Linked DNA regions of Pelodiscus sinensis. The protein of the gene in region 1 interacts with the protein of each later gene in a pairwise test. Links are inferred from orthologs where the notes say so. Each region holds a gene or a part of one and is shown on either strand. Other genes may lie near its edges. The genes, in order: WASL, RHOJ and ARPC3.

The links.
Region 2: the proteins of WASL (region 1) and RHOJ interact in binary tests that used the Homo sapiens proteins (3 or more experiments, as listed by UniProt). The two-hybrid records come from large-scale screens. The link is inferred for Pelodiscus sinensis from reciprocal best matches to the Homo sapiens genes WASL and RHOJ.
Region 3: the proteins of WASL (region 1) and ARPC3 interact in binary tests that used the Homo sapiens proteins (3 or more experiments, as listed by UniProt). The two-hybrid records come from large-scale screens. The link is inferred for Pelodiscus sinensis from reciprocal best matches to the Homo sapiens genes WASL and ARPC3.

Annotation. Positions count from the first base shown.
Region 1 is NC_134711.1:40,543,254-40,551,300, forward strand, and holds the start of WASL (actin nucleation-promoting factor WASL), read left to right. Parts: upstream 1-4,964; 5' UTR 4,965-5,436; coding exon 5,437-5,547; intron 5,548-6,060; exon of another isoform or gene 6,061-6,316; intron 6,317-8,047. UniProt on the Homo sapiens protein: Regulates actin polymerization by stimulating the actin-nucleating activity of the Arp2/3 complex. Involved in various processes, such as mitosis and cytokinesis, via its role in the regulation of actin polymerization.
Region 2 is NC_134714.1:14,816,779-14,824,023, reverse strand, and holds the start of RHOJ (rho-related GTP-binding protein RhoJ), read right to left. Parts: upstream 3,081-7,245; 5' UTR 2,528-3,080; coding exon 2,350-2,527; intron 1-2,349.
Region 3 is NC_134725.1:32,222,085-32,229,033, forward strand, and holds the start of ARPC3 (actin-related protein 2/3 complex subunit 3), read left to right. Parts: upstream 1-3,907; 5' UTR 3,908-4,037; coding exon 4,038-4,043; intron 4,044-5,468; coding exon 5,469-5,568; intron 5,569-6,949. UniProt on the Homo sapiens protein: Component of the Arp2/3 complex, a multiprotein complex that mediates actin polymerization upon stimulation by nucleation-promoting factor (NPF).

The DNA.
Region 1 (8,047 bases):
GTAGGATAAAGAATAAAGTGATTATATCTGAATGGAATAATAACATTGTAGATGCTTCAGAGTTGCTACTGCAACAAACTGGCATTTCTTCAGTATCCAGAGAGTAAATGAGTCAATCTCCTTACAGTAAACTAACTATATACACATCTATTCCTTATTGATTCAATAGAAATTTAAACAACTATTTCTGTCAGACAAATTCTTTCTTGGGGGAAAAAGGATACTGTTTTCTTAAAAAGAGAAGTGCTTGTTGTCACAGCTCAAACCCTACCGTCAACCACAACTGGAGTTTTTTCTTGGTTACCACAATTGGTTATTGTGGAAATGGAGTAACACACTCCACAAGGACAATGAGGGAAAGATGGTATCCTTTACACACTCCCATTTTCTTATTATCTTGTTGATGTTCTCTTTTTTGATCTGGCTACAATCATCATACACTTTCACTTCTAGTCTCACCCAATCTTATTTATATGGTAGCAACTGTGATGTTCTTTCTCTTGATATGCTGTGTCACTTAGACTACATCTACACTGCACAGCTATTTTGGGATACTTGAGGTATTCTGAAATAGCTACCCCACATCTACACAAGCCTCCCATTATTTCAAAATATTTTTCTAAATAACAGACATACTATTTCACCATCCTGGTAACTCTTGTTGCACGAGGGATGTGGAATAGCTGAAAATAGCATGTTATTTAGAAATTTGGCACTCTGTAGACACACCAAATTTCAAAATAAGCCATTTCAAAATAGAATTGAAATAAGATATGCAATTTGCGTAGCGCAAATTGAGTATCTTACTTCGAGATTAGGGTGCTGTGTAGATGCACCTTAAGACTTTATCTTTTCTGAGATCTGAAAATGTGAGATCTGAACCACAATACTTTTATATTAAGATCTGCATTGGACTTTGGTTTCATTTGTACTTGTGGCCAAATGATTTTTCTCTTGGCCTGATGGAAAAAATAGAACGTTACTCTGCCACATGCAGCAATCACCTTGCATTCTTTCTTTAAAAAAATGGCACTGTTCTTTAGGACTTTCACACACTTTGATAACATACACTTTATCATTAGATATCAGAGGGGTAGCCGTGTTAGTCTGGATCTGCAAAAGCGACAAGGAGTCCTGTAGCACACCTTATAGACTAACAGATGTATTGGAGCATAAGCTTTCATGGGCAAAGACCCACTTTGTCAGATGCATGTGACATTCATCTGATGAAGTGGGTCTTTGCCCATGGATGTTTATGCTCCAATACATCTGTTAGTCTATAAGGTGCTACAGGACTCCTTGTTGTTTTATCATTAAAGTGAAAACATTAAGTGAAGGGAAATTTGGTTGAATAAAAAAAAAATCCTAAATGAGTTTCCAAAGCAAGGTAATGGAAGTCACTTGGCCATTAAAGACAGACTTGACAAAGCATTTTAAATATTTTATAAGAAGAGCCCTGTCAAATTCCTGGTCTATTTTAATAAATGTCATGGATTTAACATTTTAAAAATCTTTTAATTTCACAATTTCAGATATTTAAATCTTAAATTGCTGTAAGAAACATGTATATCTTTAAAATGGCAAAATATAACATGTAAAGTCCTTAAGACTCGGCGTTTCTCATATTGGAGGTCCATTTCCAAAAGGGTACTGCAAAGCTATTGTAGGCAGGTCATTGTATAGCCGCCCTTAGTTCTGCGCCACCTTCAGAGCTGGTTGACCAGAGAGCAGTGTCCCAGCTCTGAAAGTAGTGCTTCCATCAACACAGAAGGGGGGCAATTGTGTGCCCTCCTAGAAATAGCCTTTCAACCCCCTTTTGGATCAGGACCCCCAGTTTTGAGAACAGCTGGGCATTTTTATATACTTTTACCCCATACTATATGGGCTCGTCTACATTGGCCCCTTTTCCGGAAGGGGCATGGTAATTTTTGAAATCGCAATAGGGAAATGCGCGGGGGATTTAAATATCCCCCGCGGCATTTAAATAAAAATGTCCGCCTCTTTTTTCCGGCTTTTAGAAAAGCCGGAAAAGAGCGTCTACACTGGCCCCGATCCTCCGGAAAAAGCGCCCTTTTCCGGAGGATCTTATTCCTACTTCAAAGTACTTCAAAGTAGGAATAAGATCCTCCGGAAAAGGGCGCTTTTTCCGGAGGATCGGGGCCAGTGTAGACGCTCTTTTCCGGCTTTTCTAAAAGCCGGAAAAAAGAGGCGGACATTTTTATTTAAATGCCGCGGGGGATATTTAAATCCCCTGCGCATTTCCCTATTGCGATTTCAAAAATTACCATGCCCCTTCCGGAAAAGGGGCCAATGTAGACGTAGCCATATATGGGAAAAGTACATACAATACCAGATTTCACAGAGAAAACCAGTTTTCATGGTCCATGATGTATTTTTCATTGTGTACATTTGGTAGGGCTCCATCTATGAGACAATGCATTGCAGTGGACTAATATTAAACAGGCTTTTCCATCTCTATTCTCTATGTATGTTTTCTTTAATTTTATTTATTATTTCAAGTAAAATACACCTTTAATGCACAACCAATTACAAGTCATCAAAGATTTTGTGGGGATTAATAATCAGATTCATAGAATCATTGAAATGTAAGGCTGGAACAGATTGTGAGAAGTCATCGAGTGCAGTTCCCTTCATTAAGACAGGGCTGTAGGCGTAAACTGAGGCAGTCCATGGTATTTTGCTAAGAACCCCTATCCAATCCCAAATTTGAGACAAGACTGGGAACACACAGCACAAGCAGTTAACATAACCTTGGTCGCCCTGGCAACCACATTCCAAGAGGGCCTCACTCAGATTAGAGGCTGGCTGGTACCAAAACAACTTTTGTGGAAACTGTTCTCACTGTCTTCCTTTAACCCTAGATAATAAGCCTGAAACCCAAGGACTACGCCAATGCAAGGCAGTATCACCCCGCAGTAGACACATCATCATTTCAGCAGACAAAATTACCAATAACGTCTGTTTTGTTTATGTTGGCTTCTTTAGCTTGTTAGGAATAACTACTTGCATTATTGATAAGATGTTTAATTGGCGATGGGTGGAGCCTGCTGTGTAATCTTTGTAGTTGATTGGCTTACGTGCTCATTCCGTCTTGCTCCCAGACCCTATCAAATTGCTTCTCCTCCGTCCATCTGCCGCCTATATAATCTATTGTAATGTTTTGTTTAACCAGTGTTCACCAGCCTAAAAGCTGAGGGACACTCCACCAACTATGTGTAATAAATCCTCTACTTGTTTTTACCTGCATGCAGAGTTGTCCAGAATTATTCCCTACAAGGCCCAAGTAAACCTAGATCATCCCTGAAAGGTGTTTGTCCAGTTTTTTCTCAAAAACCTCCAATGATGTGGATGCTTCTTAGAAGACTAATCCAGAAGGCTGCACAAAGGGTGGAGTACTTGGCCTAAATGCCACATCCATAGAGAAACCATAGGCTTTCAGATGCTAGTTAGTCTTTGAAGGATCAGAACCTAAGTTGTTTTCCCTTCTTTAAATAAATTGCTCTCTCACAATCAAGGCCTAGGTCAATATTCCCTTTAAAATGCTGAAAGAATTCTAGCCAAGGGCTCTCACTGACACCTGTTTTCACCTCAACCCTGACGGAGGCTTCACTGTTTCCCTTTTGCAGTCACGGGCTCTAAGAATTGCTCTGAAGAAGCACTATTGCTGTCTAATGCCTACATTTTACCACCGCTGCTACAGGGAGAGATGACCAAAGTCCAACTTATAAAATTAGATTTTGTGTATCTGTTCCTGCTCTCCAGAGGCATGTGATTTATTATGAAGTTGTAATAGCCTCAGCGCACTAAGGCTACATCTAGACAGTGGCATTATTTCAGGATACCGGAAGTATCTCCAAATAGCTATTCCATGTATTTAAACACACCTGTTATTTCTAAATAAATTTTGAAATAACAGGTGAGCTATTCTGGCATCCCTGTAACCCTCGTTCCATGAGAGCTAAGGCATGTTGCGGAACAGTGCTTTACTTAGAAATTAGATTGAAATAAAATACACAATTTGTGTAACACTGCAGTTCCCCCCATTAGGGTTGTATACATTCCCCATGAAAAAGCCGTTTTACCCACACTGCAACTTTGGTTTGGAAAATTAAATTAGCTGGAAATTTTGCCAGCCCAGATATACTCCAAAAGAGATTTTTTTCCTACAATGAAAAAAATAGGATTTTTAAGTTAATTACAAAATTACCCTGAATTCAGTTTTACTTCTAATTGTTCCTTTTCTCCCTTTCAGAGAAAACCAATACCCCTTCAAATACTCCATAAAATAAAAACTCATTGAAAAGTCGTACATCAATTACAGTGAAAATTGGCTATAACTAAGAAAATGTATCAATGATTTTTTTTTTTAGTGGATAGCTCTTGACCCAATCATGTTCCAGTTAATTTGAATGGGTCTTACAGATCAATTTTTCCCCCTTGATCTTGTAAGTTGGGTTTTGTTGTTTTGTGTGCCATTCACATCACTGGGAACAGGATCAGACACGGGGATGCTGCACATCCCCAACGCTCGCTGATTTGAGAGGGAGCTGCTAAATCAGGTCCCTAACCTGTGTGTGAATGTCGCTTGTGACAGTCACATTGCTGATTAATGCTCGTCAATCGCTGAGAGCTCGTACAGAGCTCCATTAGCAGCTCAGGCCCTAAGCCATTTGCAACCTAGGCTCCACATCCTCACACAAGGCAAGTCCCCTACGCAGGCTCTTCCCCCAACCCCTGCTGCCTCTACTCCCCAAGCCACTCACAACTCAGGGCTCCCCCTCCCAGCCGACATCTGTGCCCGCACCCAGGCATTAGCAGACCCCAGGGCTCCCCTTTCCCCAGCGGGGCACATTTGCAGCCCTGCAAGCTCCTTGCCCCCCGCGGCAGGAGCCCAGCAGCACCCGGGCGCTCCCGCCCGGCGAACTGGGAGAACAGGTCGGACCAAGCGGGGCAGGTATTTAAGGGAAAGGCGAGGGCGACGCTGCTCACTAGCGGCACCAGCTCCCAGTCAGCCAAGCGCGGCCCAGCACAGGGGCAGCAGGCGGGGCCCTGCTCCGGAGCGCGGGGAGGGTCCCCTCAGCGTGTGGCGGCAGCAGCGGCGGCGCAAGTCCCGGCCTCCCCTCTGGCTCCGGTGCCGTGTGGTCTCGCCCGCCCCCGCTGCCATGTTGGATTGTGCGGCCGTGGGAGCCGGGGAGAAGTTGGAAGTTTAGTGCTGGTCCGAGGGGTGGGGGCGATCGGCCGGCGGGCAGCGGGAGCCGGTGCCACCTCGCCCAGTCCCTGGGCTGCCGGGCGCCGCCAGCTGCCCCCAGACGAGAGGAGGAGGCCCCGCTATGCAGCCGCTGTGAGGCCGCTGGGCCAGGGGAGGCGGACGGCGAGTTGCGGGAGGCGAGGGCGCCCCGGGAGCCGGCCCCGGCCATGAGCAGCAACCAGCAGCCGCCCCCGCGGAGGGTCAGCAACGTGGGCTCGCTGCTCCTCACGCCGCAGGAGAACGAGAGCCTCTTCGGCTTCCTGGGCAAGAAATGCGTGGTGAGCCCCGGGCGGAGCGCGGCGGGAGCGGCCCGGGCAGCGGCCGCGGCCCCGGGGAGGAGCCCGGCGCAGCGCGGGGGGCCTAGGGCTGGGGAGGCCCGCTCCGGTGGGTTCCCTGTGCTGGGCGGGGGGCAGTTCCCTTCTCAGGTCTTTCCCTGGGGGCGCTGGCAGCTGCGGTGCCCCCCGTGGCCCAGGGAGCTGCCCCGCGGGGGCGCCGGGACAGCTCGCTCCCTGGGCGGCTGGGAGTTTCGCAGGGGGAAGGGGCGTGAGCAATGAATGAAGCTCGGGAGAGGGCAGCCGCCGCCCCTGCGCTCCCCGCCTCCGTCCTAGCGCTCTTGCGCTGCGGAGGTGCTGAGCGCAGGTGACTGGGGGCCCCTTGCCTCGCCCGGGGCTCCTGAAGCAGGAAATGCCGCTGCTGCTTCCCCGAGCGCAGCACGGTGGGCTCGCTTCCCCCGAAATTCTCCGCTAGGCCTCGCCCTCTCCCCCCCGTTGGCTCCTGGGATGCTGCCATGCGCAATGGAGCCAGTGTCTACGCCTGCTGGTTCTGGAGGGCTCGGGAGTTGGGCCTGATTGAAGGACTTCAGCTGCGGAGGAACTGGGAATGTTGTTAGAGGGCAGGGGTACTAATTACACTGCTCTCTATTGGCCTGGATGGGGCAAGTCGGCCCAGACCTGCTCTGTCAGCTAGCCCCTGGCTGATCTCGGAATGCTGTTGTTATCTCTGTTCCTCCTCCCTTCTCCCTGTACCTGCTGCTGAGCACTTCTGTAGGTATGTGTGACCAGGGCTTGTCCAGTATGCAGTGCAGGTAAACTATGACTTACTATGGGAAGTAGTCAACTATAGCGCGATTGCAGCATCCGGTAGAAAAGTTTAATCCGTTCACAAGGTTGAACAAATCTGGGCAGATTGCACCTGCAGTAAATCAGTAGAATTCACAAAGCTGCAGGAAAACGGTTAGGAGAGCTGGGTCTGACTTGTTTTTAGGTTGTTATAGCCATGTGAGTTTGTTATCCTTAACAGTGGATTGAAACTTGCAGATGTACTGATTCCCTTGCTGCATTCATCCTTGCAGGAAAACAAATATAATGCAATGATTTTAAAAGGCTTTCATAGACCTGGTCCTAGTACCTTAGTTTTAGGATTCCTAAATGACCTCTTGTATTTTAAAGGTAAAGGGTAAGTTGCTTTGGGACAGCAAAAATGGAAAGAAATTCATATGTTTGCCAAAGCGTAATCAGGGTTATGGAATACTCCCCATAATTTCTGAAGTTCTTTTTTTAAAGAATCAGCCCATGTTAATATGATATAAACTACATTGTGTCTAGGATACAATATCGGTACATTGACTAGATGCTATTCTTTGTATGTCATGTGCCTACAACATCAGTAATAGGTACATAATAATTTTATTGTATATATGTTTGTATTGTGCAAGATATCCTGTTTGCAAGATATCCTGTTTAAAAGTAAGTGTTGAATTACAAGTTTCAGCAGAAGTCACAATGGTCACACATTTTAAATGAGGTTTGATCAAACTGAATAATTTCTAAATTGTAATAGAAGTATGGGAAATTCTTAGATTGAACAGGAAGTACAGTATGCAATATTTTCATGAACTCCGACCACATATAATTATCTTACTGTGATTTGGTTACTTTAAGATAATTTTATCACCTCATTCTGGGTGTTAGGGGGCTCAAACTAATCTATAGTCATAAAGCCTGAACTGGTAGAGAAAAGACAACATTTTTACGGTAAATTTAGAGCCAGCTTCACTCAACTACTTGAGCTACTGATTGACTCGCGCTATAGTAAATTATGCCTATGCATGTTTCAGAGGTCTAGAAATAAGATATGATAATGCTAGTGAATTCATATATGATTAATTCGATTACAGAAGAAAACTTAAGTGCTTATCTTAAAATATGAATTGCTCTTTAAAAACACAATAAATCAGATACTTCTTGGGAGAATTTTTGGTTTGCAAGCCATTCTACTGCCCAACTAACAATTGTTACAGGATTTGGTAATGTAATCATTAATATTTTGCTCTCCTATAATGCTTTCTCTGAGGCGCTCAGAATTCATTATAAACACTGATGAATTAAGCCAACCCCAGTGATAAATGCTACTATTCGCATTTTATAGACAAGGAAACAAACACATAGTTATTTGGTTGTCTCAGGATGTCATTACAGATGGCTGGTCTTCTGGGTTGCCCTTGTAAACCATGGTGGCCAAACAATGGATTTATCCTATCTTTTCTTAGACATGTGGTGTTCAACACACTAGCCAGTAGCCACATGTGGCTATTTGGCTGGTTGAGTGTGGCTATTTCACTATAGCAATAACCAAAATAGTGGCTACTGCTTCAGAACTGGTTGGACACCACTGTCTTAGATTCTATGCATATTTGTGGCCTATTCTGAATCTTGGGGGTTTTTTTCAATTTGTTTGAAGATTTTAGGAATTCAAGAAAGATTGTGCTTTTATGGCTTA
Region 2 (7,245 bases), on another chromosome or scaffold:
AATATAGACTATTTATAATGCTAATTGGCACTTAGCCCCTTGAAATTTGACAGAATTCCTTTCCTACACACACGTTGCCTGCCTCTATTTGCATCAATAATATGAATACCTTTCCCACATCTGCAGCCCACATGAACAAAGGCTAGAAAGTAGATAGGGCAAGTTAGCATAATTGTGATCAGATGCTTTTGATGGTTAACAGCATTTGCTCAGTGACAACTGTGTTATTAAGCAATTCCCAGTTCTGAGCTAGGCAGAACAGTATCCTGGAAGATAACAGTGATCCCAGTGCAAAAGTGATTCTTAGATCAGAATAGGTTCCCCTGACTCTCCTGCTCTTTTACTCCAAGAGAAAGAAGGAAATCAGTAAATAATCTGACGTTCCCAGTCAGGCTGTGACACTGACCCGGTGAGACGGGAGGAACACTGCTAACACAACACTGGTATTAATAAAGCTGGTCAAAACATTTTGGGAGAACGTGTTGAATTTGATGACATTTTTGACAGGAAGTCTAAATGAATCATTTCAACATTCGTGGTTGGATAATGTCAAAATGTTTTGTTCAAACATTATTGTTTTGATTCTGTTTTGAAGTATAGGTTATATTAGAATTTTAATGTTAAATTGTATCAAATGTATTGTATTATATTTAATTCTTTGATAGTGTCAAACTGCTGAACTATCAACCTCCATCCCCCCTTTTTTAATACTGTTGCATGGAACATTTCAACATTTTGCTTTTCATGCTGATTTGGAACAAAGACAGATTTCAAAATGCTGGAATTTCCCCTGGAATAGAAATTTTGTTTTCTGACTACCTCTAGTTTTTAATCACACCAATCAGGCAGAGTTTGTCCCACAATAGTACAATAATATCCAAAGACTCAAAACAATCTTTTTAGCTTTCTGGGCTTTCTCCTAAAAATCATTCTTCCTTATACTACTTGCTTTTAACGTTTCAAAATTTCAATAAAATAATTGGAGACAATCTCAGAAACCTAAGTCTTCAGTCCCTGCAAATACATTTGTAAAATTGTCATTTAAATGGGAATATATATATTGTTTCACACATTATCTTTATTAAATTTTTACTCCTATTTCTGTTTTGTGTAAACAGGTTTTTTTAAAATGGGAATTTAAAACAAATGGGTGAGATGGTAGAGAAAAGACATTGTTGTTAACATCTAGAGACAAAGCTACACACATTTATGGAGAAATAAGGGTTTCACATTACCTCATATCAAACTCAGCATTTACAGTTTTCTTTTTTGGCCATGTCTCTCTGCTAAACCTGACATGAAGCCAAGGTGAAAGCTGAGATTTTCCCATTACAGAATACCAAATCTATGATAAGCCATGCCATGAAAATCCAGTTTAGGAGAAACAGAAAACAAAAAGCAAACAAAATTGCTGCAAGATCAGTGATAAGTTTTGTATAACTTACAAAATCTGTTTTTTTAGGGATCTTATAAATAAAAAAATAGGATCAGTAGCGTAACATGATGAAGACAACCAATTTCTTGCATTAGGAAAACTAAAGCAACATTAAAGACTGTTTTCAGCCTGTTGCACAGTACACATGGTAAATTCTGAAGCACCTAAAAAAGTTGCAAGGAGTTGCTACAGCAGAAGTGGCCTGTGAATACTGTACCTAAACCGTGATCTTCTTAAGATATGTTTTTCATTTTGCCCTGTGATACAATCAAGATCAGTTATGATCTTTGCTATGTTCTGTGAATGATTGTTCTTTTTTTTTTTCATTAAGACAAGTGCATTCATCATTAAGCATTAAAACCAGTGCTGCTTTGCTCTACTATTAACTACTCTAATACTCTGATATTAACTACTATTAATCATAAATGCCAATACAACAAAGTGACCTTCATTCCGGCAGCACTAGGTGAGGTGTCACTGCTTTTCTCAAAGATTAGTTCATAGAGAGGATCTCAGTATTGCAACTTCTGAATCACTTGCCACACAAGGAAAAAGATGACTGACAAAATGCACGTTAGAGTCAGACAGACTGAAGTGGGCAGAGTTCAGCTCGTAACTTCAAAACAAGCCTGGCAAATAACTATAGAAACACTGAATTATAGCCACTGCCTTTAAAGCCAGGGGAGGTTACTTAAAGTTGTGTTTCTAATTCTGCATATTTGCCAAAAAAATAAAATGGGAAACAAATAACAAATCCTTCAGTGCCCTCCTTGAATGTGCTGCCCTCTACTCTGCCTGGCTGCCTTCCAAACCTGACTCATGTTCTCGGGCTAGTAGTCCCTTGACATCTCCTTTGCCCTCCGTCTCCCTTCCCTTTCCCTCTGAAGTTTTCTTTGTAAAAACCACTTCCTTACCTGCATAATGGTCAAATACGGTAGGCACATACTCCTCTGGGAAGGCATCATTAGCATAACTCATCAGCAAACAGGTTTTCCCCACTGCACCATCCCCAACCACCACGCACTTTAACATCTTCTTCACGTTATTGCTGCTGCATTCGGTGCTGGTGTCATCTTCCTCCTTACAGTTCATTCTTGCGGCACTGCTGCTGGTCCCAGGACTTCCAAGTGCACATGAAGGAAAAATGAAGTGCAATTGTATTCACTCTTCCTGAGTTTCGGAGGCTCTCCACCTCAGGAAATCATACTGTCTCCAGGCTGTTCCAGCTGCCTCTAACAATTACCGTATCAGTAAAGAGAAGCATTGAGGTAAATAAATGATACATCTATTAAAAATTCAAGAAAAGGATTGTCCTTTCTTGTGAGCTGGAGTCAGGAAATACTCATCCTGACAGAGAGACCTCTGTTTATTGCAACTTTAAAAATATCAGCAGTCAGAGGCGTTGATTCTCTTCTCCCCTTCTCCAGTTTGGCCAGAGGATTCCGGTATTCCTGCTAAATCCACTCCATTTTCCATTTCATTTCTAACATGGAGGAAAGCTGGAGGTTTTTAATGGAGTTTTTCCTTTCTTTCCTCAGCTTGCTGTGTGTCAGGAAATCATGGGTTTCCTGCTGAATTCCATATTAGGATCAGTGGGCTTGTGAAGGGCTGCAAACAATAGGAGCTCTGTGTGCGTTTGTACTTTAGAGGAACTATGCCAGGACATAGAGTAAGAAAAACACTAGAGGTCTCACTGCAGGCTAAAGTTGTTAGGCTTCCTGTTTCATCTAAAGCACTGTTCTCTGGGCTGGCTGAGATGAGGCTGGTGTTAGCTCATAGATACGTAGAGGATTTGAATGGGGAACATTGTGAAAAATAGGGATTCAGGTTTAAATGAATAAGCAGGGAATGTCAGGGGTTCGTTCTGTAAGGGAACCGGCCTGTAAAATGTGCAGTACTGTCCATCTTAGGGGTTTTGGCTGCCACACATTGCTGTAGCACCCTGGGATGTGCTTTTTCTTTTGAGGGTGTTGGTAGATGGGAGTAGAATGGAACCCAAATGCTCTCCTTTGTAAGTACCTCTTTAACAATTTGGGTACAGTAATAAATCAGGCTTATCAAGCCAGGAACGAAGACATTCTCCTCCCTGTCCCCTGCCCAACAAACAAATGAGACTTTTTCAGGTATAGATGTGTGAGCACGGCAGAGAAGAGAGCCGATGGAGAATTCAGAACGACAGCTGTTAAAAGGTGAAGGCTACAGGGCAAAGCTACAGAACAGTCTGTGTAAAACCAGTTAAAAGGCATTGCTTTTATTCCCTAAAGCCCGAGCCATCTGTGTTCCTGTGAGACACACAGTTCTGCTGTAGTATTTCATATAGTTCTGAGCCTCCTTTTTAGTTTTACTGTAAATCTGTACCAAAGATCTCACCGTGGGTACACACTTGGGGTACGTCTAGACTACAGGCTTTTGTTGACAGAACTTTTGTCAACAGATACTGTCAACAAAGCTTCTGTCGACAAAGAGTCTAGACTACATCCAGTTCTGTAGACAAAGCAAGCTGCTTTGTCGACATGGCAGTGTAGACGCAAAGGACAGTTTAGATGCAATAATGCCTTCTGTCAACAGAACTCTGTTGACAAAAGGCGTTATTCCTCGTAAAATGAGATTTACCAGTGTCGACAAAACTGCTGAGTTCTGTCAATGTTATGTCGACAGAACTCAGTGGTAGTGTAGATGCAGGTTTAGTTTTGTCGACAAAACCCTGTAGTCTAGACACACCCTTAGGGTCGAACCTTACTCTTTATTCCTGCAATCTCCAGCAGAGTCACCCGAACAGCCCCTTGCTCATATCAGCCGTTCTCTTCCCTGGGCATTCCAGTGCATGCTGCGTCCTTTGCCTTACTCAGATTCTAAAGCCTCCAAGTGGGGAAACAGAGAAATCTACCATGAGATAAGAAATGGCAAGGTGCGACGGATGCACTGCTTAGCTCCCAGCTGCCCAGAAACAACAGTCTGCAGTCCCATAGTGTTGGATGGGTTGGGCTCAGAGAGAGAGAGAGAGACCCTTCCCTCCCCAAGCAGTAAAGATCAACAGGGTCATCTTGGCCACATAACTGTAAGTCACACCGCACTGATGTAATGAAGCAGGTGTAGCAGAGACCCCCAGAGACACCACTCCTTAAAGGCCCAATCCAAAGCCTCTAAAAGTCAATGGGAGTCTTCCCTGAAGCAAGCCCTCGCTTCATTCCCACGGATCCTGCCATCTGTGCTAGCCAGCGCGCCAAGTGGGTCTCCACCGTTTGCCTTTAAACCCTCCTCTGGGTTTTGCTTATGAAGAACATTTGATCCATGGTGACCCCTGCTCCTCCTTTCGCTCCCTCGTAGGGAGGCTGAACTAAATACAAAGCATTGGGCCATCTGCCACCGAGCTGTGCTCATAATAACAGGGATTCTGGAGAGGCTCCTGAGCCTGCCTCTCCTTGCCCAGTGTCCTGGCAATTGTGAGAGTGGGGAATGGGCAGGACAAGACCCACAGTATCTGATTCCTCGTTTTACATGGGCAAAGTTATCCAGTTTCCTAGTGATTTCAGTGAAAGGTTTAAGCAGCTCTATTCCCATCCCCTGCTGCTGCCTCTTTCCTTCCTTTAAAGCAGAGCTAATCAACATGCGGCCCGCTTGTTTGTGGCCCATGGTGCCATTTGGGTTTACACGGAGCTCAACATGTGCCTGCGGGTGGAAGCGAAAACAAAAAAGTAGTCAATATAATGGTCTTCTGTTGATATGTGTTTTAGTAGTTAAATTCCTGGACTGTCATTGCTCATTAAAAGTGCTGACATCGGGTAAATATTGCATTTTATGAATATCAGCAGAACTGACTTAAATGGGGCCTGCGTGTCGTACAGTCTTGCCTTAATCTTTGATACATGCCCATTGATGTGAAATAAGCTATTTGCATATATAGTTGCATATATATGCAACCGCACTTAAGTTGCAGACTTGGGCATGTGCTGTGAGTATCATTGTGGCCCCTGGGGCTTCCAAAGTTGAGTAGCCCTGCTTTAAAGGGACCCTCAAAATTGGCCTTTTGTTGGTGGTTTGGGAAACATTTGGGAGGAATCTGTTTTAATTTAGACCTGCCAATAAAAGGAGCTAAACCCCTCTCTCTTTTGCCTTGGCGGCAGCTATTAAAGTGCAGTACTCACTTTTGGCCATGATCTTAAAGACCAGCTAATGACTCTCCTTGAAGAGGCCAACACGATGATTTATGAGATTAGCTTTAAAGTGAGCAAGGCTGACATCTTGCCCATAAATCTCTTTAATTCAGCACTGTAATTTTTCTTTACAAACATAAACAATGTGAATAGACTAGCTTAGCAGATTTGCCCCACAAAAAACCCCTATAAAGGTCTGTACCTGGACTAAAAGCATATGTTTTCTTTAACGTGGGTTGGCCCCCATTCACAAAGGCCAGATGAAAATGTGGTTTAGTTGCAACCAAGTTTAATAACAGTTATTGTACGTTTCTTTTGGCTGCATAGCTAGAGCCATAATTAACCCTTGTACTGCTCTGCGGATGAATCTTTTACATCTGTGGGGATGGCGCTTACTTTGCAGTATGGATTAATAGCCCGGTACTGCTCAACTTGAGCAAAGTTTGTGGCCGTACGAGTTGTTTTCTATAACAGGTTGCTGCCCCTCTGACGAGTCTCTTAGAATTCTGCTGCAGGGGAGGGTGAGCAGTTGAGCGGTTGCTCTCACATGTTGCTGAATGTCTTTCTTGCCTTCAGTGCTGGGTAATGGGTGTTTCTTCAGAACTTTCGATTTATTAATCGGCAGATTGGAATTGTCAGTGGTGTAGGTACACTGAAGCCTTCTGCTGCCTTTGAAAGCTCCCGAGGCTACCTCTGCACAGCAGAGCTGTGTGAGCATTCTGGTTTGGAAAATATGATGGTGTTAGTGATGGGCATGGCTTGAAAGAGCGAGAAGTTTAAGTTTGAATCCATAGGTTTCCTGCAATTCTCTAAGGGTACATCTAGATTACAAGCCTCTTTCGAAAGAGAGCATCTAGACAGCAACCAGTACTTTCACAAAAGAGAGCCGCTTTTTCGAAAGACAGCACCAAGGCAGTCTGGATGCTCTCTTTTGAAAAAGCACAGTTTGTGTTCAATAATGCCTTTTTTTGAAAGAGCACTTTTGAAAAAAGGCGTTATTCCTCGTAAAATGAGGTTTTCTGCAGTTGAAAAAACTGACTCTTCTTTCAATTTAATTTCAAAAAAAATGTGGCAGCAGTCTAGATTCAGGTGAAGTTTTTTTTAAAAAAAAAAAAAAGGCCACTTTTTTTTTTAAAAAAACCCTGTAGTCTAGACACACCTTAACCTTCTCTAATCTGGATATCAGGTTTGAATTTTTCAAGTTCTTTTCTATGAAATTCCAGGTGCTTCCTAATTTGCCAGTAATTCACTAATACTGGAAGGACAGCTTAGTTCCCTCAATATTGCTGTACCTCCACTTCCAGCCAAAGTCTTAAAGAGATGCAGAGTGTGAAAATTCAAAAGACCTAAAGAAAAAGTTAACCCACTTCCTCTGAACCTCCAGAAAGGCTTGGTGAGCATTTTGGGTGGAGACTGCAGTCTCCTCATCCACCAGTTTGCCCATCACTGGGTTTTCCAAGGGGCTAGCAAAGGGCCACAGCCTCAAGTGGGGAAGCTGAGCCAAGCCAATGGAGGCAGTTAGTGGGGGTGGAGGGAAGCTGTCACCTGAGGCAGCTAGCCAGCAGTTTATAGTCAAAGTAGCTGTGTTCCTGGTGGCGCACCTGCATTGGCTCACTGAGGAACAGAGGGGCTACAAGCAGTAGGCCTAATCCTCTG
Region 3 (6,949 bases), on another chromosome or scaffold:
AACTCTTCATGGTATGTTTTGAAGGGGCACTCTTAGATGTGATCAAAAGTGTCCTGATGTGAAGGTCACATGACTGCTCCAGAGTTATATACACCCTACACAGAATGGTAAGGATATCTAGGTGATAAAGTGCACCCTTCCCTTATCTGTACTCTGTCCACTAATCTATTTCACCAGGAACTATTTCTAGGATTCCAAAGAGCTGTCACTTCAAAATTAACAAAACAGAGTGTGAGGTTTAACTTTTCCTCCATCATTACACTGCTTTGCAAGAAGTACAACCCTTAATAGCAGAGAAGTCAGAGCTTGGAAATACTGGATTTTTAACCTATTACTGTTGGAACTAGGAAACTTTACAGTGGTAAATGTCATTTCTACCTGTGTGAGATTCATGATGAAATACTGGACCATGAAAATACAACAACATGATTTGAGGGTAATTTATTTTCCTTTTCTGTTACACACTGGACAACATGTGGCATATAAAGAATGACCAGAGATATGGTGTGGCATAAAGGTTTGACAGTTGTTTGAAATGACTTGTGAAACTGATTTGTGACTCTACAGTTTGTAAATATTGCAGCTAAACTCATGTTGATATATATTTCATGTCACTTCACTGTGTGGTTTAAATAAACATGCATTTCATCACTCAGAACAGTAGTGGTAAAATGCCTTACTCAAATATTTGACCCATTTGAATATAAATAAGGCAATAAATAAAATAAGACAAGCTAAAATACAATACAAGCTAAAATAAGACAAGCTAGTGAAAATTGACTGACATTTGTAAAAGGCATTTGATAAAGACTGAATGTAATACTAACACAGGGTGTTGCGCTATTGATAGTTTCACCCAAGGTTTTCATGTTTCCAAGAGAGCATTTTAAACACTCAGTTGAGGGAGGAAAAGTTGAATAAGTTTTGGTTTTCTTTAAAGTACATGTGCTCTCCCTCACATTTCTATATACTGACAATCAGTGACACATTACCAAAGAGCTCTCATTATATGTTGCTCCTTTTATTATTTTAATGTGCTAAGAATCAAATCAGTACTTTGAAGCAAAACTCTTGTGGACTTTGGTGGGAGTACTCATGGCATAAGAGTTGCAGGATTTCATTCAGTATAAGGATATGTGCTTTCAGGCAGCCTACTCCAGCTAAGATTCCATGAACAAGACAAAAATAAATAAAATCCTCTTGTGCTACTTGAAATAACTTTTCTGTGGATGAAAATTGTGAAACACAGTGATGCCTTCCTAAGAAAGAAAAACATTTCTGAATTAGATTAGAATTGCCAATAGTTATACAAGGTTGACTACACTATCTACTAATTTAACTAACTCCAGAGGAAATATTGTCCAAGCAAGTATTTGGCATCAAATAAGGCCACTATGTATCCTGTCTAATTTTTTTTGAGAGAGAGAATTCATATTTCATTGGTATTTGTATTAAACTTATATCATAAAAACTGTGGGTATTTTTGTATATATATAAAACCCTATATGCATCTAAAACCTTGAGTAACTTCATAAATAAGGGAGCAGTCCGTCTGATTTCTCATGAATAAAGATACGTGGTCGTATTTTTGGAGGATTTGGCCCCAAATGTCAATTACAAGTTACACATGCCAAGTCTATTTTTGGATCTAACTGATAAGCTTATGGAATATGTTAGCTTTTAATAGGAGAGTATTATTAAATTTTATTCTTTGTAGTGATGCATTTATTGACACTGTACATCATAATTATTCAAATAATGCTTAATAAATGGTCATTGGTACAGAAATAATTGTTTAATGATTTAATGTAGAATTGCATTTAGATCATGTCTTGTGACTGTCTTAATATCTACTTCTCGAGTTCTAAATGGTTCAAATTATGAGCTTTCTGTCTATTTCCTTAGGAGATAATTAGATCATCTAATTCAACATCATATTTATGTTCATAATATGGTTAAGCTTTTTCTGCTGATCACAGGTAAACACCTGACAAAGTTCTCATAAATTTTAATCTTAAAAATGATTGTTCACAGAAAACCCACAGAGACTTTTGATGAGGCATGAAGTAGATTTATTTTATTTTTTGAACAAATGCCTTACCTGTACAATGTTAAACTTGGAGCAACAAAACATTTTGGCCAAAGACTGTATTTTATATCTTTGAAAAGGCAAATTAAATTGTGTGTGTGGGGGGGGGGGGGGTCTTCTTGGAATGATAAAATAAAACAATACATTTTTCTGGTTGTTGAACTCCCCTCTGCTCTCAAGCAAGGAATCCATCTAAGTTGATATCAAATACAGGTAATGGTGGTGTGTATTTAAGGAATAAATTCTGTGTGTCTCAGGGAGAATGCATTCCTTTCAAATATTCTGAAGGGGTGATATTATTGCAGGGAGGGGGCGAAAGGCACTTGAAAGGAGGGGGGGAGGGAGATAGTAATTGGTAGCAGGATAAGAATCCCACAGAATGATCCAAATGGGAACAAATAAAGATAGGGAAACAAAAGGTTGCTAGAAAATTGAAATGTTTTCTATAAAAACTGGTCTTGAACAATACCCTGAAAATGTGCCGTTCCTGCATTGGTTTGAAGTGAGTACATCCTACAGAAAACACATTTATTCCTTTACTCAGTAAAGTAGGAAGTGCCATGGATGCATCTTTCCCCTGTAGGATTCTATTAGGAAAAAATGAAGCATTTGGGCAAGGCTATAGGCCTTGATCGAGCACTAAGATTCTCACAAGTGGGCTTTTGTGTCTGCAGTGGAGCCAGCTCTCAGGTTTTTATCATGGGTTTCATGATACTTGGTGTTTCTCTTAGAATCCCAGCTTCTGGAGTCAATTGATTATGCAAGAATCCCAACTTCCATTATTTTTAAATTTAAGTTTCTGTCCACCAGAACTGTGGAGAAAAGCTGAACCTTCTGGGCTCAAAACCCAGATTGACTAAAAAATCATGATAGTTGAAAAAAAATTTTTTTTTTGCCTATCTAATGATTTTGAGGGGAACTTCTTGTTTCTGTGTGGAGTGAATGCAGGCCTGGCGCCTACAGACCTTGCCTATACTTTGAATTCAGCAATCAGCACCCAGCAGCCAACTTAGATGCACAGTGCAAAGCACAGCGAGAGGCAGAGTGCTGTGCTTTGCACTGGTGCAGTTGCCAGCTTTGACTCTCTATGTTGTGGGCTCAGTTCATTTCCAGACTTGTAGGCCCCTGCTCTGGCAATAACAAATCCCTCTTGAGCAGCGCAAACAGAAATCAGGGATCTGCAGTAGGGTTGTAAAAGTGTAGTTGATTAACCCATTGACCTATAAGCAAAAGCTTATAGGTTAATGCTATAGACTAAACACATTCCATCCTCCTCCCTACTTGCCAGTAAGTATTTTAGCAGGCTGGTTGGCAGCCCAGCTCAGTTCTGGCTTGCACATGATCTGGGAGCTCAGACCACCCCCAGATGGGGGCTTCTGCCCACCCCATGCTACTGCCTCTTTATCAGAGGTGGCAGCGCACAGGTCAACAGCACAGGCCCTCAAGGGGAGCTGGGTTTTAAACTGGCTTCCCGCACAAACCGGCGCCCACCAGGCACCCCATGCTGCTGTGTCCGATACCCAGGCAGCATGCAGCGTGGCAGGGGCTATAGGATAGTCAAGTAACCCATAAGAATTCATGAGGTTACTGGGCTATTCAATGAACTGGTATTTAACATCCCTAATCTGCAGCCTTGTCATTTGTTACATCAGGGAGGACTTGGACCCACTGCATTTAGAAAGCAAGAACCGCGCCACATCCTCCCCCAGGAGCTGAGGCCGGGACCCTTGCGAGCGCTCTACCCGCAGAGGCTCCGCGGCCGCTGCCTTCCTAGCGCTCTGCCGCCCCCTGCTGGCCAGCTCCTGCCCTGCGCGCACAGGACTTCCTGCTTGCAGCCGCCTGGGGTGGGACAGGAAGGGCTGGCTCTCTGCAAGCTGCTGCATTGCTGACTCAGGCGGCTTCCTGCGCTCTCTGCCTCCTGGGAAACGACCGTCCCCACCGACAAAAAATGCCGGTAAGGAAAAGAGACCCTGCGGGTCTACAGGGCCCCGGCTCCTTGCGCGTGCTTGGGTTGCACCCCGCTGCCCTGCGAGCACTGTGGCTGCTGCTAGCCAGGGAAGGGCAGGAAATGCTACGGGGGATGGATGCTAGGCCCGGGGCTGAGCATTTGGGCCCCTTGGCTGCTGCTCGTTTTGCAATCCGCAGCCCATCAGGGGGGCTTCAAGGATCGGGTAGAAAACATCACAACGGCTCTGGGGTTTCTTTCTCTGTTCAGAAATAGGAAGAAGCTGAGCGAAACTAGCTGCTGCAGTGGGAAATGTCACCTCTACCAACAAAACGGGGGAACTTCCTTTTAAGGCAATAGTCAGCGCCTCTGCAAACCGCACGGCACTATTCATGATATTGTCCCCCACAAAGGATTTTGCTTCATATGCGCGGGTCGACGCGAAGTTAGCTGGTTGTTGATTTTACAATTAGACTAGATGGGCAGCTCTTTGTTGATTTAATTGGGGCTCTGGGCAGATGAAAGGGTGGGGCCTTTTCGTTGTAACTTCTCAGTTTATCTTGTGTGATTTTTTTTTTTTTTTTTTTACACAGCATTGGTAAGGTTGCAAAACACGGTTGTCCTTGCTTACTTAGCATCATAAAGAAATAGAGTGGAATTATATGATCACTGCCCCTTGCTCAAGGCCTGCTGAGCCCACCACCTAACTTAGGGAACAGCTGGGCCTTTCCAGTTTGACTAAACCCCTACAAAATTAAGAATATTCCCTTATTGGATAAACTAGGAGCATTATAGGTGAAAATTACTTTTATATGAAAATATTTAAAAAACCCAAAACAAAGAAACAGAAAAGTCCCATCAGCATTGGTGTTTTAAAGTAACTTATCTTATATTCTAAGTGCATGTATATTTTGAAATAAACCTCCTTTCTACAACATTGGCTCATATTGCAATTGTCAAGAAAAGATTTAAGCACCAAAGCAGAACGTGATTCTTAAGCTGTATCTACACTGACCTTTTTTTTTTAATTGCCATTGTTGAAGCACCGGAAAAGTAGATATGATAAAGGTTCTGAACATATTTGCCATCAAGTTATTTAGATCTGCTCTGAGTTAGACAACTGGTGATGGAAGCACACACTTCTACCTCTTCTATGTTATAGCATTCACCATTATTGCCTCCAGTTAGACTATGGCAGTTTCGTAGTAGGAGTCGTCCTCCCCCCACCTCCCCAAATGTTACTAAGGCCTAATTAGCTAGGTAAGCAAATACCACTGAACTTCCACAAGGTGTGGTTGCTGGATCATTGTTAACTGGACAAACCGTGCATCCATCATTTAGAGGGGGACATTTGTGTAATTTTATTCTTTCAAGGGAGAAAACTACTTATTTTCTTTTTATTGCTCACAGTCAGACTTCCTCTTTTGTTTATAGGCTTATCACTCCACTTTAATGGACTCCGATACCAAGTTAATTGGGAACATGGCTTTGTTACCCATTAGAAGTCAGTTCAAAGGACCAGCTCCAAGGGAAAGTAGGTTCACAACACTCTTTATAAGTACTATATCTGTATTTGCATTTATTTATTTTGCAGTCCATTTAAATCCAGTCCTAATTGCTTCTCTTTCATGAATATTTCATATCACTGATCTGGAAATGGTTATAGGACACTTTATATAAACTGTATCTACTTGAGGCTTTTGATTTTGTGTGTGTGTGTATGGTTTTCAAACTGAGGAGAAAAGGGACAGATTAGAAATGGGTACTTCCTGGTAATAGAGGAAGTTGACTTTCAGATGGCTATTAATGCTGTTGGATTGGGGGTTTCTTTTGCCTTCTGCTGTGCCATCTATCCGGAACATTTACCCTTCCCAATACAAGCCTCTGAATGCTTTTTCCTGAAGAAGAATCCTCTGATCTAATTTGTATAATGTGTCCTTCTCAACTGCTGTTTAAAATTTATGCCAGTGCCTTGAACCAACAGCTGACTCCAAACTCTACTCAGTCCTGTCTTGTGATAGTCACCCCCTTTCTATAGCTCTTGTACAAAATTATCTGTAGTGTTGTTGCTTCTGAATTGTTTTGTTTCTTTTCACTCTATCTTGGTTTCTCCTCCTTCTCCCTTTGGGAGTTGTTCTATCCACCTTAGAATAATAATCTGTATGTAACCCTTGCTTTTGTTAGTCATTTTATCATCTTGAGTCTTCGTATGTCACTTTTAATCCAAGACACTAGTCTTGTAATTGAATCCACATGGTTTCACATGGAGCCCCATTGATTTTAATTGGCTTTCCATGAAGTGCAAAGGTCTCCTTGTGCAGACCCAATGGTGGGATTGCAGCCTTAGCATGTAAACTCTGAATCATGTCTTGTTGGACACCATGGATCTAGTGGAATGGAGCCATTATTATTAATCCATGTTTATTACAGTAGTGACTAGGGACCAGTCAAAATTAGGGCTCCATAGTGCTAGACACAAATCCCAAATTCAGTCCCGAAGAGCTGGCAGTCTAAACAGACAGGACAGATGAAGGACAGTGGGAAGGGCTATAACATGCAAGCAGAATGAACAATGTGTGATCAGTCATTTGTCCTGATCTTGACTGGGGCTTCCGAGTGCTACCACAATAAATAATGTGCTATTTTTCCAGTGTGTCTTCAGTGATGAACACATTTGGTTTGTTTTCTCTTTGATGCCTCCAGAAGACCTTGTTCTAGTTTAAATTCCGTAATCTTTTGATTTGTGTGTGTGTGTGTTTTTTGTTTTTAATTCAGCCTAAATTCACTATTGTCAGGTTCAAAAGGGTAACTGTGATAAATCTGTATCTGCAAAAACAACGAGAATTCCTGTGACATGTTAAAGACTAACTGTTTTATTTGGGCATTAAGCTTTCATGGGTAAAACCCGCTTCATC